Linked DNA regions of Saccharomyces cerevisiae S288C. The protein of the gene in region 2 binds, or shares a complex with, the protein of the main gene of each other region. Each region holds a gene or a part of one and is shown on either strand. Other genes may lie near its edges. A codon is read from its position in the direction of its gene.

Evidence for each region. Proteins that work in one complex are often made in the same cells at the same time.
Region 1: the proteins of SCC2 (region 2) and SCC4 are in contact, whole or in part, in a crystal structure (PDB 4XDN), measured with the Saccharomyces cerevisiae proteins. Residues at the interface, in NP_010466.3 of Saccharomyces cerevisiae: Met1 (codon at 4,982), Tyr3 (codon at 4,976), Pro4 (codon at 4,973), Gly5 (codon at 4,970), Lys6 (codon at 4,967), Lys8 (codon at 4,961), Ile10 (codon at 4,955), Pro11 (codon at 4,952), Gly12 (codon at 4,949), Arg13 (codon at 4,946), Ile14 (codon at 4,943), Ile15 (codon at 4,940), Glu16 (codon at 4,937), Ala17 (codon at 4,934), Leu18 (codon at 4,931), Glu19 (codon at 4,928), Asp20 (codon at 4,925), Leu21 (codon at 4,922), Pro22 (codon at 4,919), Leu23 (codon at 4,916), Ser24 (codon at 4,913), Tyr25 (codon at 4,910), Leu26 (codon at 4,907), Val27 (codon at 4,904), Pro28 (codon at 4,901), Lys29 (codon at 4,898), Asp30 (codon at 4,895), Gly31 (codon at 4,892), Leu32 (codon at 4,889), Ala33 (codon at 4,886); in NP_011074.3 of Saccharomyces cerevisiae: Gly5 (codon at 2,590), Asp6 (codon at 2,587), Lys7 (codon at 2,584), Leu8 (codon at 2,581), Ser9 (codon at 2,578), Ile10 (codon at 2,575), Ser11 (codon at 2,572), Val13 (codon at 2,566), Tyr14 (codon at 2,563), Leu16 (codon at 2,557), Glu19 (codon at 2,548), Tyr20 (codon at 2,545), His23 (codon at 2,536), Ile27 (codon at 2,524), Ala28 (codon at 2,521), Asn29 (codon at 2,518), Lys30 (codon at 2,515), Ile31 (codon at 2,512), Gly32 (codon at 2,509), Ser33 (codon at 2,506), Glu34 (codon at 2,503), Gly36 (codon at 2,497), Leu37 (codon at 2,494), Lys38 (codon at 2,491), Gln39 (codon at 2,488), Tyr41 (codon at 2,482), Gly42 (codon at 2,479), Leu43 (codon at 2,476), Met44 (codon at 2,473), Asn45 (codon at 2,470).

What each region holds. Positions count from the first base shown.
Region 1 is NC_001137.3:462,241-466,687, forward strand, and holds SCC4 (cohesin-loading factor complex subunit SCC4), read right to left. Parts: upstream 2,603-4,447; coding exon 728-2,602; downstream 1-727. Other genes in the region: YER145C-A (uncharacterized protein), read right to left, coding at 146-583; RNA-binding protein LSM5, read left to right, coding at 345-626; SPT15 (TATA-binding protein), read left to right, coding at 3,063-3,785; PEA2 (Pea2p), read right to left, coding at 3,968-4,447. UniProt on the Saccharomyces cerevisiae protein: Involved in sister chromatid cohesion. Forms a complex with SCC2, which is required for the association of the cohesin complex with chromosomes. Binds to the nucleosome-free promoter regions of ribosomal protein genes and tRNA genes.
Region 2 is NC_001136.10:819,652-826,276, reverse strand, and holds SCC2 (cohesin-loading factor complex subunit SCC2), read right to left. Parts: upstream 4,983-6,625; coding exon 501-4,982; downstream 1-500. Other genes in the region: SAS4 (Sas4p), read left to right, coding at 1-367; NVJ3 (Nvj3p), read right to left, coding at 5,453-6,625. UniProt on the Saccharomyces cerevisiae protein: Plays a structural role in chromatin and is involved in sister chromatid cohesion. Forms a complex with SCC4 required for the stable association of the cohesin complex with chromatin, which may act by hydrolyzing ATP from SMC1 and SMC3 heads.

The DNA.
Region 1 (4,447 bases), on a different chromosome or scaffold from region 2:
AGGACGAAAAATTGTTGAGAACGTATACGTATATTGTATTCTTCTTTTTTTTCTTTGCTGCCCTTTTATTATCTATTTCATTTTTTAACCAGAGGCAATCGTAAGAGAGAGATAATATAGCCCTTTTTGGTCTTTTTTGGCACCTTCAGCCGGACCCTGCTCTTTTATTACCCGGATGCTCGGGTTTTGTCTTTGCATCCGGGTAGCAAAACAGAATACTTGCTTTCTTATTGAAGTAGAAAAAATACAGAGAAAGCGAAAAAGGCTTCCTTGGCGGATAGATGGTCTCACAACAAGCATAGCGTATACACGTGCACTCACAAGCATACACAGAAGCGCGCAAAATGAGTCTACCGGAGATTTTGCCTTTGGAAGTCATAGATAAAACAATTAACCAGAAAGTGTTGATTGTGCTGCAGTCGAACCGCGAGTTCGAGGGCACGTTAGTTGGTTTCGACGACTTCGTCAACGTTATACTGGAAGACGCTGTCGAGTGGCTTATCGATCCTGAGGACGAGAGCAGAAATGAGAAAGTTATGCAGCACCATGGCAGAATGCTTTTAAGCGGCAACAATATTGCCATCCTTGTGCCAGGCGGCAAAAAGACCCCTACGGAGGCGTTGTAAAAAGGCAAAAATTAACGCGAATTTGTATAGTGCATCTAAAAAAAATAATTAAGTATAAAAATAGATAAAGGAAATCAAGTGTTTCTTTTTTTTTTTTTGGTTTATTGTTTGACACTGGTGATTTGCTTAACCAGCGCCTCCAGCTTCGCGTTCGTGAGAGCGACGTCTTTTCCCCGCATCGCCACCGTACAATTCATTAAATGCCATATTCCGATCACGTATTGGACCTTGCGCATGCCGCCCTGCTGGCGGCACATATCGAAACACTTTGCTGAAATCGCATAGATCTCGCCCAGATCGTGTTCGAGCATTCGACCGCCTAAGTAGTTTACCAGTATTTGCAGCAACAGAGCCTTCTTCAATTTGAAGCGGTTGTCCGCAACGGCTTCTCCGGCAACGAACTTGTTGCTAGAGTAGAACTCGCGGAGCTTCGACACGTACTCGGCGCGCTGCTTGTCACTACATGGCAGCGGGTTCCAACTGAACGGCTCGAAATGGCTGAAAAGCCATAGGATCGTTACTGTGCACTCCCATATGGGGTTGAACTGCAGATCCGTTTCTTGTAGCAATTTCTCCACCTGAAGCCACACCTTGTTGCATTGCTCTACGAGTTCGCCCTGTTTGTCCCCCGAACATCGGCTCACTCTTGCCGCCTGCACTGTGTAGCAATTCAGAAGCGATATCATCTTCACCTCGCTGGATGTACCGCCAGATTGTGCAAGCCGCGTGTACTCTTCTACGGCCCCGCCGCCTTCAAACTGAACCTTCATGGCTTGCAGCAGCCTCACGTAGCCTGGAGAGGGCCCTAACTTAGGTGACTCGGTCGTCACTACGGCCCCCTTCAAGAGTGTTTGTTCCCACACTTTGTAAAACTCACAGAATTCAAGAATGCTCTTGTATGTCTGGATTCGTGAGTCCAGCTCATTCATCGAAACACCGCCAGCGGCAATGTTCTTAATCAGTTTCTGCGTTGTAGAATAGACTTTGGGGAGGAACTTCCTGGAAAAATTGCCCTTTTCGTCATAACAGTTCACGATGTAGCTGACACTTTGCAATAATAACAGTATGTTCTTTAATTCTTTGTAGTGGAAAATCATAGGCAACTCTACTTTCAGCGCTATCCTTGGCATGATTTTGATCACACATCCCTTACCTTCATTAGTGACTAGAGATTGCTTGTTTGTGTCAAAGAAATTTTTGAATTCGTTCAAGTGGTCCGTAATATTCCCGTCTTTACAAAGCTGGATTACCATCTCTAATGCCAACTTCCATGCATATAGCTCAGGCCCCACCGTGTGCAGCTCCGTGCTTCGCAGCTCCTGCAGAGCATCCTCGGGGATTGGGAACCTCTCATTTAGCAAGTAATTCACATAACACAGATTTAGAAACCATTTCCATTGTGACTTTTCCCGACATTGCGAGAGTAGCCCATGAAAACTCGTCTTCACCCTGCGGTGCTGTTTCAGCTTAATGCAAAGCATCACGCCGACATACTGGAATACGGATGCCCAATTTTGATACAACTCATCCTGCAAATTTACCATGTACTGGACTAATTCATTGCAATTTCTTAGTGCAATCTTATAGTGGAACTTACTGTCTCTCATAAGTGGCAAGTCATGTAACAGCAGAAACTCGCAACGCATGATCTCTTCTACCAAATCTGTGTCGCTCTGGTGCGTTTGTAACCGTTCTTTCAAACTGGAAATGTAAAGCTCTGCTAGGTCAAAATTATACGTCTCCTGTATCAATAACTCCACCATCTCAAACGTGACCTTACTATCCTCCAGAACTGAAAGCGTACATTTCGTTTTCAATAGCTGAAACATCTGGATAGACATGTTCATGAGGCCATAATACTGCTTCAACCCTTCCTCAGAACCGATTTTATTCGCAATTGAATATGCATGGTCTCTGTATTCCTGTGCTAAGTGGTATACTTGTGAAATACTAAGTTTGTCGCCAAGATTTTCCATGAATTTGTACTTCTTTCGAAATCGTTCAATTTCTACCAATACTGATTCCCCTCTGATAGCTGAGATGTCGGGATTCCCTTTGCTGATAGATCTAACTCATCTCTTTACGTATTTTAATTGTGAAGCCGTAAATAGTTATCTTCCAAGTTTCTCTTACGCGAGCTTTTTGGGAAAAGAAAAAAATTTGAAGATCTACATATAAAACATGGCTTCAAAGGATTACTAATGACTTTTTTTACCTTGATAGGTATTCTTGATGGTAAGAGTAAACAAGGGACGTGAAAATTACAGTAGTTACTGTTTTTTTTGGACTATAAGATCGGGGGAAAGATAACACATAAGAAATAAAACGACTACTAGTTAGACTGCTCTGCGGAAGAAGCAAGGAAGTAAAGGCTGCATTTTATTTTTCTTTTCTAGTCCAACATAAACAGGTGTATCAAGAGAAACTTTTTTAATTATGGCCGATGAGGAACGTTTAAAGGAGTTTAAAGAGGCAAACAAGATAGTGTTTGATCCAAATACCAGACAAGTATGGGAAAACCAGAATCGAGATGGTACAAAACCAGCAACTACTTTCCAGAGTGAAGAGGACATAAAAAGAGCTGCCCCAGAATCTGAAAAAGACACCTCCGCCACATCAGGTATTGTTCCAACACTACAAAACATTGTGGCAACTGTGACTTTGGGGTGCAGGTTAGATCTGAAAACAGTTGCGCTACATGCCCGTAATGCAGAATATAACCCCAAGCGTTTTGCTGCTGTCATCATGCGTATTAGAGAGCCAAAAACTACAGCTTTAATTTTTGCCTCAGGGAAAATGGTTGTTACCGGTGCAAAAAGTGAGGATGACTCAAAGCTGGCCAGTAGAAAATATGCAAGAATTATCCAAAAAATCGGGTTTGCTGCTAAATTCACAGACTTCAAAATACAAAATATTGTCGGTTCGTGTGACGTTAAATTCCCTATACGTCTAGAAGGGTTAGCATTCAGTCATGGTACTTTCTCCTCCTATGAGCCAGAATTGTTTCCTGGTTTGATCTATAGAATGGTGAAGCCGAAAATTGTGTTGTTAATTTTTGTTTCAGGAAAGATTGTTCTTACTGGTGCAAAGCAAAGGGAAGAAATTTACCAAGCTTTTGAAGCTATATACCCTGTGCTAAGTGAATTTAGAAAAATGTGATGGGGAAGGAGTAGACGAAAAGAAAAAAAGGTTTTCTATTTGTTCCATTTTCTCAATTATTAATGGTCCTCAAAGAAATAAAAGAAAAGGAAGAAGAAGTAATTGTAATATCAAACGGTTTTTTATAGTATATTCTTCTTATTCTATATTTATATATCAATGTTTTATAATAAGATGTTTATTCATAGCATATCTGGTGGATCGTCTCTATTAAGCGCCAGCGAGGTGTTTGCCTCTGCATTTTTCAGCAAAGCAAGCTCCCTTTCCAGCTTGAATCTATGTTCACGCTCATCCGACAATTCTTTTTCATACTTTCTTTGTGTACTCGTAAGCACTTTTTTAAACTCACTTGTCATTATTGAAAGTGAACGTGATCCAGAACCGCTTGTGGGGCTTCCTACAGAGGAAGGTGAACTTGGATCCCAAGTCACCGGCGAACTCGCTGGTGATGACATGCCGAAATTATGTCTGCTTGAATTCAGCTTGTTGTTGGCTTTTTCAAGTTCTTTATTTTCCTGCTCCAATTCGTGTAATTTCTTTTCAGTTTTACTCAAATTCGAGTGGTTGTTTAATAACTTATCTTGTAATTCTCTGTTAGTCCGCGTTAGCTTCTCGATATCTTGTACATATTCGGCACGGTCATTCTCGAATTGCTTAGTCAA
Region 2 (6,625 bases):
GGAACCAGAAGTCATTCGGGATATAAGGCAAGATACACAAAAGTCTATGAAACTGAATGTTAAAGCGGAGGAAATATCTGTGACAGAGACTGTCAAATCAAAAGAAATGAATGCCTTAAGGAACAATGCTGCATCTATAAGTCCAACTCTTTCAGAGAAGGCACCTTTAGGTTCAATTTCATCTTGCACTGCATCTCAGATTTCACAAAGGTCTTCTGAGAATGTGGGTGCTATTATTAACAATATCAACCCAAACTTAGCAATAGTGCCCTCTTGTAACGAAAAGACCTTTGTAAAAACACACAATGGAATGAAAACTAACTCAGGTATTAATATTTTGCCTGTCCGCAAGAAAAAAAAGGTTTAGTTTGAACTAATATAATGCGATGGTGTAAATGAAATTCAATATTTCATAGTTGCTTCTCAAAACCTGCGTGAAAAATCAGCATGGAAAATGCAAAATGATTATTAATACTATGTATATTTTAAGTGCAATATATTTACGTATCCTTCACGTGTTTTCTAAAATATGTAAGAAGCTTGCCATTTGATGAATACTGTTCAATATTCTCCAACTGTGCGGAAAACTTACTGATATCCGGCTTCTTTGCAGGGAGTTGTTTGTTCTTCAATTCTGATTCTTCTACAATATCTAATAAAAGCACATCATCCCTTAACCCGTATAAGTGCAGTAGATAAGTACCCAAATCCTGTAAGCTTAACTGTATTAAAATTATTCCACTGAGCTTTTCTTCTGATACGGATAGCGATGAAACATTGTCACCTATTTCATCCATGATAACCTCTTTTAATCTATCTGTAGTTAAATCAATGGTTTTGAGTAGGGACACCAAATCGTACTGAGAAACAAATGTGATATTCGAAATGTTAGTGCAGAGAACGAAAATGGACTTTTGAACACTACTATTTGTTGATGTTAAATCGGTGATATCATCTAAATAGGATTGCATGATTCTCTTCAGAACTTTAAAGAACTTTGGGCCATTTTTTTTTCCAGTTCCACATAATTTTTCAAGTAAAGACAAAAAATGATCGTGCTTGTAATAATACTTCTCATCTGTATGAATAGAATAATGTATAGCTTTTGTAACCCCTCGAGATAAACTACTGAATACTAGCGTTTCGTATTTCTCAAAAAGATCTTCTAACAACTCATAGGCGACATGACGAATATACTGGCTAGTAGAGGCAAATAAAGCAATTACAGTTGGAATTGAATGAGAGGGATTTGTGTAACCAAATTTCAAAATCAACTTTAATAATCGAATAGCTACGAGAGAATTCTTTAGATCACGTAGGAGACATAGTTGGAGAATATTGTCTAAAAATCTAGTAGCCAACGCTGAACATACTCCATCATTTGCAAACTCTACCCTATTCGTTTTCAGTAATTTCTTTTTCAAAATGGAGTTCGAAGACAAAGTGCTATTAACGCCAGTGTTTCTCACTGACTTCCTTTCTTCCAGTAGAAAAAGATCATATAAACTTTCTAGAATTACTAGTTTAATATCTAGCTGATCGCTCTGAAATTCTTTGTCCAGTAAATGTAGAACGTGTCTTGAATTGAATAGTTTTGGATGATTTCCACATAATTTAGTGAGATTTTTCACAGCAACCCTTCTTATTACGTGTGTAATTTTGTCTTTAGATAGTACAAGTAGGCATTTGGTAATATGTTCATACAGGGTTTCACCTTCTTGTAAAAATGCAATTTTATCATTGGAGGGTTTAGGAAAGCAGAACCTGGCAAAACCGGTGGATAAATATATCAGCCTTTGCAATTTTCCGTCAACTACAATGGCAGCTTCCTCGTTATTTGCCTTATTTATATATGGATGTAAATGGGAAAGACAGGATGAACATGCTTTAGCTACTCTAGCAGTATCATGACGATGAGTGGCAACAGACCAGATAAGAGGCATAGCTTCATCTATCTCTCTTACATTCATCTTTGGTAGCCTACTCAAAAGGGTCGTCTCTAAGTCATACAAAAATTTCTGTTTAAAGTTGGCCAATTTTTCAAAAGTGCATCTAAAGACTTGCAAGATATAATAGTGGAAGTCAGATTTTTCGTCCGATACCATATAAGGATACAATGCTGTAATGTGGTCTTTAGTCAAAAATGACACAGTAGAATCAGCAAACTTCGCCAAAAGGTTTAAAAAATTTTGTTTATCAACAATCGAATTCTTTTCATTTGTGTCATCTGAGTTGAGCTCGACAATTTTTTGTACCAAAAAGTCGGTAAGAATGGTTAGAACGTGAGTGATTTTATCGTATGCTTCTTTTGAATGCGCTTCTTTGTTTAGGAGATAAAAGTTGAGAAACAAGTCGAAAAGTTGGGAGCATTTCTCATTCATTATAGCCACACGGGACATTACTAGTAGGACTGAAGAAGAAATTTCTTTCAACTTTTCGGGCTGGTCCAATACTTCATGTACCTTTAATATCCATCTATTTAATAAAATCAGCCTAGCCATATCAATTATATTGTCCTCCTCGTCTTCTATTTTCATTAGGATTCTTGCTATTACGTATACCTTCGTGACGATGTCGTTCGTCTCGTCGTACATTTTTTCATTAATTCTTAACACATGTTTTCTTACCATTATGCTATCATCGTTATAGTTGTTGTTAATTTGTTGATAAAATTCGAAGTATGAAGAATTAATACTGACCAAATCTAGAATGGCATCCTTGACAGATGCAGATGAGTCGTTTAAACGCCGGTGAATAGTTTCTTTAACCATTGGGTTTGAAAGTATCACTTTGTCTTTTGAAGCCAACATCGAGAGACATTTAATAGCAGTCGATCTCAGTTTGATTTTATCCTTGGCTAGAAGTGATAATATCAACTTCAAGTATGGATCGTATAGATTCAGTAGTTCAAAGGCGTGCAAAATAGAAAAATAATCCAATTTAATCGTACTAAAATCTGCTTCTCTGTTCTCTAATTCGGGTCCAAGTCCACCATCTTTTATCTGCTCCAATATTTTTTTCAATTCATTGTCAACGGTTATAATTTGTTCTTTGGCATCCTTTGTATACTCTTCTAATATCAAGATCGTACCGAGCCTTAAATTCCAAAGGAATCTTGTTGCAGAACGACGGCATTTGATCGTTTCATTATATGCAATGCATTCTTCAAATGATTTAAAAAAATGCGGCAAAGTTTCGGGGTAATTAATCATTTTAATCAAGTTGTTATCTTCATGGTCTCTAGTTGAGCATTTAATATCAAAAATTGTAGAACCAATATTCCCTATAAGTTGTAAACATATTGTTTCAATGTTTGCAGAAACTTGCATGGATGGGCTGTATACACTTAGAAGTCTCTTTAACAAAGAGCTTAGTATTTTTTCTGTTACAGGCCACTGAGGGGAGGAAATTAGCAATAATAGATCTTGGACAAAGTTGTCAATTACATACCTTAAAGCGGACGGGTTCTTGAAAAACCTTTCCAGTATTGTGTCATTTATATGCTCAACAATGTTAAAAAGAAATTCTTCTTGCTTTTTGTATTCGTTCTTTAATAGATCAATATTCTCTGGTGCAATATCCTTCATCTGATTACAGAAGGAGTAGCAATTAATATTCTCTAACATTGACATTAAAGTAAAGGTAAAATCAGTGATATAAATGTTTTGGTTACCAACTTTTCTTAGTTTTTTTTGTATTCTCTTAGTGGGAAGCTTTTCGATATGAGATAGTAGTTCTTCTATAATAAATCCTCTCTGTTGATCAAAACTACCGAATAATGAAACTAAAATATCAGAGCTGATTCTCTTCACATTATCCCAAAAACTTTGAAATTGGATATTCGTAGTTGCTTCAATGTCATTATTCATCAGCAAGTCGCTAAAGATGTACACAAGCTTTGCCGTGACATTATCATCCAGAAAAGGGCCGTTACGTATGTATTTCGGTAGCAATTCTAGGGCCTCCTGGAAAGTGTCAAATTCTATCTTCAAAGAACCATATTCAATTGTTAATATTTTTAGAGATTCTATCAAGTCGCTTAAAAAATTCACCGGTTCCATGATGTATGATTCCCGATGTAAGTTGCTGTCATTCTTACCCAGTAAAAAAATATTGAATAGTACAATTGTAGAAAGCAAAGCAATATATCGTAACATAGAATCATCTAAACCCATCTTTAAAGAGCTTTTACTGAACTTTATATTACAAACCATCACATCAAGCAATCTCAAAAGCCATGTTATTTCGATTGAGTTCGATAGCTGTGGGTTATCGGTAATATTTTTAATTGTCATTTGTAATTTGGTTAAGCAGTTTGTAGTTAAAACGAATTTTTTATTTGGCAACTGGAGCCAGTACTCGATATTTCCAATTTCAGCAGAGTTTTGGTCAAATCCAACAATATCTAAAATATTTTTAAGATCATTCAAATATTGTTCCGCTAAATTCGCTTGTGTCATGGTTACACCTGTTGAAGTTTTGGTTTTCTTGTTGGAAGAATTGTCGTTGAAACTCAAGTTACCAGCATTCGAAGTCACACTTTCGAGCTTATGCTTTGCCTCCGGTCTGCTTACTATTTCACTTTTTTTCTCGATGTTAATGGAATCATTCAACCCTTTATGGGTTGATAGAACACTCTGCGCTAGCGGTGATAATCCTTCCAAAAAGTTAGTTGGGACATAATCAACAGAATTGGCTGATGACGTAAAATTACTGGGTCTTTTGAAAACAAGCCTTTCTTTTTCGGCCTCATTCTTTATGGAAGAAGTAGTGCTGTTAGCTGTACCTAGAACATTTATATTAACATCTCTGCCATCATCAGCGCTGGTAAAGATAGTCTTGTCAAAAGGTAAAGAAACCCGCATTGGGGCATTTACTAGCGCGGCTAACCCATCCTTAGGAACCAGATAACTCAAAGGCAGGTCTTCTAGGGCCTCTATTATTCTTCCAGGAATATTCTTGTCTTTCCCTGGGTACGACATTGCTAGCCGCCAATTCTTTCAAAAAATGAATAGTTATAAGAACAATACTCTCACAACAAACGAAAAGCCTGAGCACACAGGAGCAAACCAATACACAAAAGAAAAATTGCTATAAGTGGAGCACTCGAATGTGACTTGTTGTTATCGAACTCTAAGCCTGAGCTAGAAAAAACTTTAGTTACTAAACTGCATCGTTCTTTTTCAGCCAGTGTTTTTTTTAAGCGAAGTGGCGGCAGTTTCGCGTTTAACATAAAAGCAATACCACTTTTACCTGTTCGGGCAAAAGGAATAGATATTTGCATATTTGGCAATGAATAGTGCTAATGATTAGGTCATAAAAGCTATTTGTTAACAATGTTCTTGCTTCCTAAGACCTTACTTCATAGTATAAAAATTGGTAATAATGCTACAAAGAGTGCTATTTCGGTAACATCAAATATTTGTCAACAATACTCTATACATCACGAAGTCTACGGCAACTGCGCAATAACACAGTCAATAATTCTATAAATTAGCAGTTTATTGCAATCCCTATTCTTCGATATGCAGATAATAAGATCCGCTATGTCAGACCTTTTGATAGCGAGGATATGATCAAGTTTATAAGTCATACAAACATCCCATAAATTGGAAATACACTCTTCTCTGAACTCTAGAAAAGCATCACCCACTGGTAATACTCTTGGTGGCCCCATCATATTGTCATTAGGAAACAAAGAATGTCGTAATAATGAGAATAAGTTGCCAATTGTCACAGGGCTGGTAATTTTAGTTTGAACAATATTGTCAAATGTTCTATACATGACCCTGTTTAACGCATTTAATTTAGAGATCCAATGCTGAAGCGTTCTGCATATTGAGAATAGGAATGGCTTCCTCATAGATAATTTGAAAAAATCATCGGTGAAAAAAGTAAAAATATATCTTTGTAGAAATGCTGTTTCTTGAATTTCGGCAGTGTTCATATTTGCTGCTTCTGTTGAAGTTGAATAAGCTAAAAGCCTGGTCATTTGCAATATTTTGTGCTTTACATTGGAAACAAACAACCAGGGATCGCATTTAGGCTTTCCATGAGTCACCTCGTTTCTGGTATTTCCTGCAGAATTTAGCTTTATTCTTATGCAAATTTTATTCAAGCCCTCCAGAAGATAATATGGTTCCGCTATTGAATTAAAAATATGCCCGAACACAAGTTCATTTAAAAAGCTATCCAAAAAGCTTCTCTGTAGTAGAGATTTGGTGCTCATTTTACTTTGTATGATTTCAGTGAATAGCATTGGATATCGTTTCGAATCATACAAAGTTAGCTTACAGTACTGTTCATAAACTAAATCGTTATTTTGAGATGAGTCATTTAATGCTTTCAAGTGAGACGAAAGCAAGCAGGGAATATAATCGAGTAAAAGGGCATGGTAATTGATTTTGGAACTCTTCAAATATGTTATTAAATCTTGAACTAAGTTATATAGTTCGGTTAAAAACTTGGAATCATCAGTGGGTATTTTGATACCATACCAAGACTTAACGAAATTTTGGAAAATTAAGGCAATAAAGGTATTTACCTGTAGGTCTGGCAAAGCTTCTATGCTTCTGATTTTCTGATGTAATGAATTTGGGTATATAGAGAAACATAAATCCCTTAG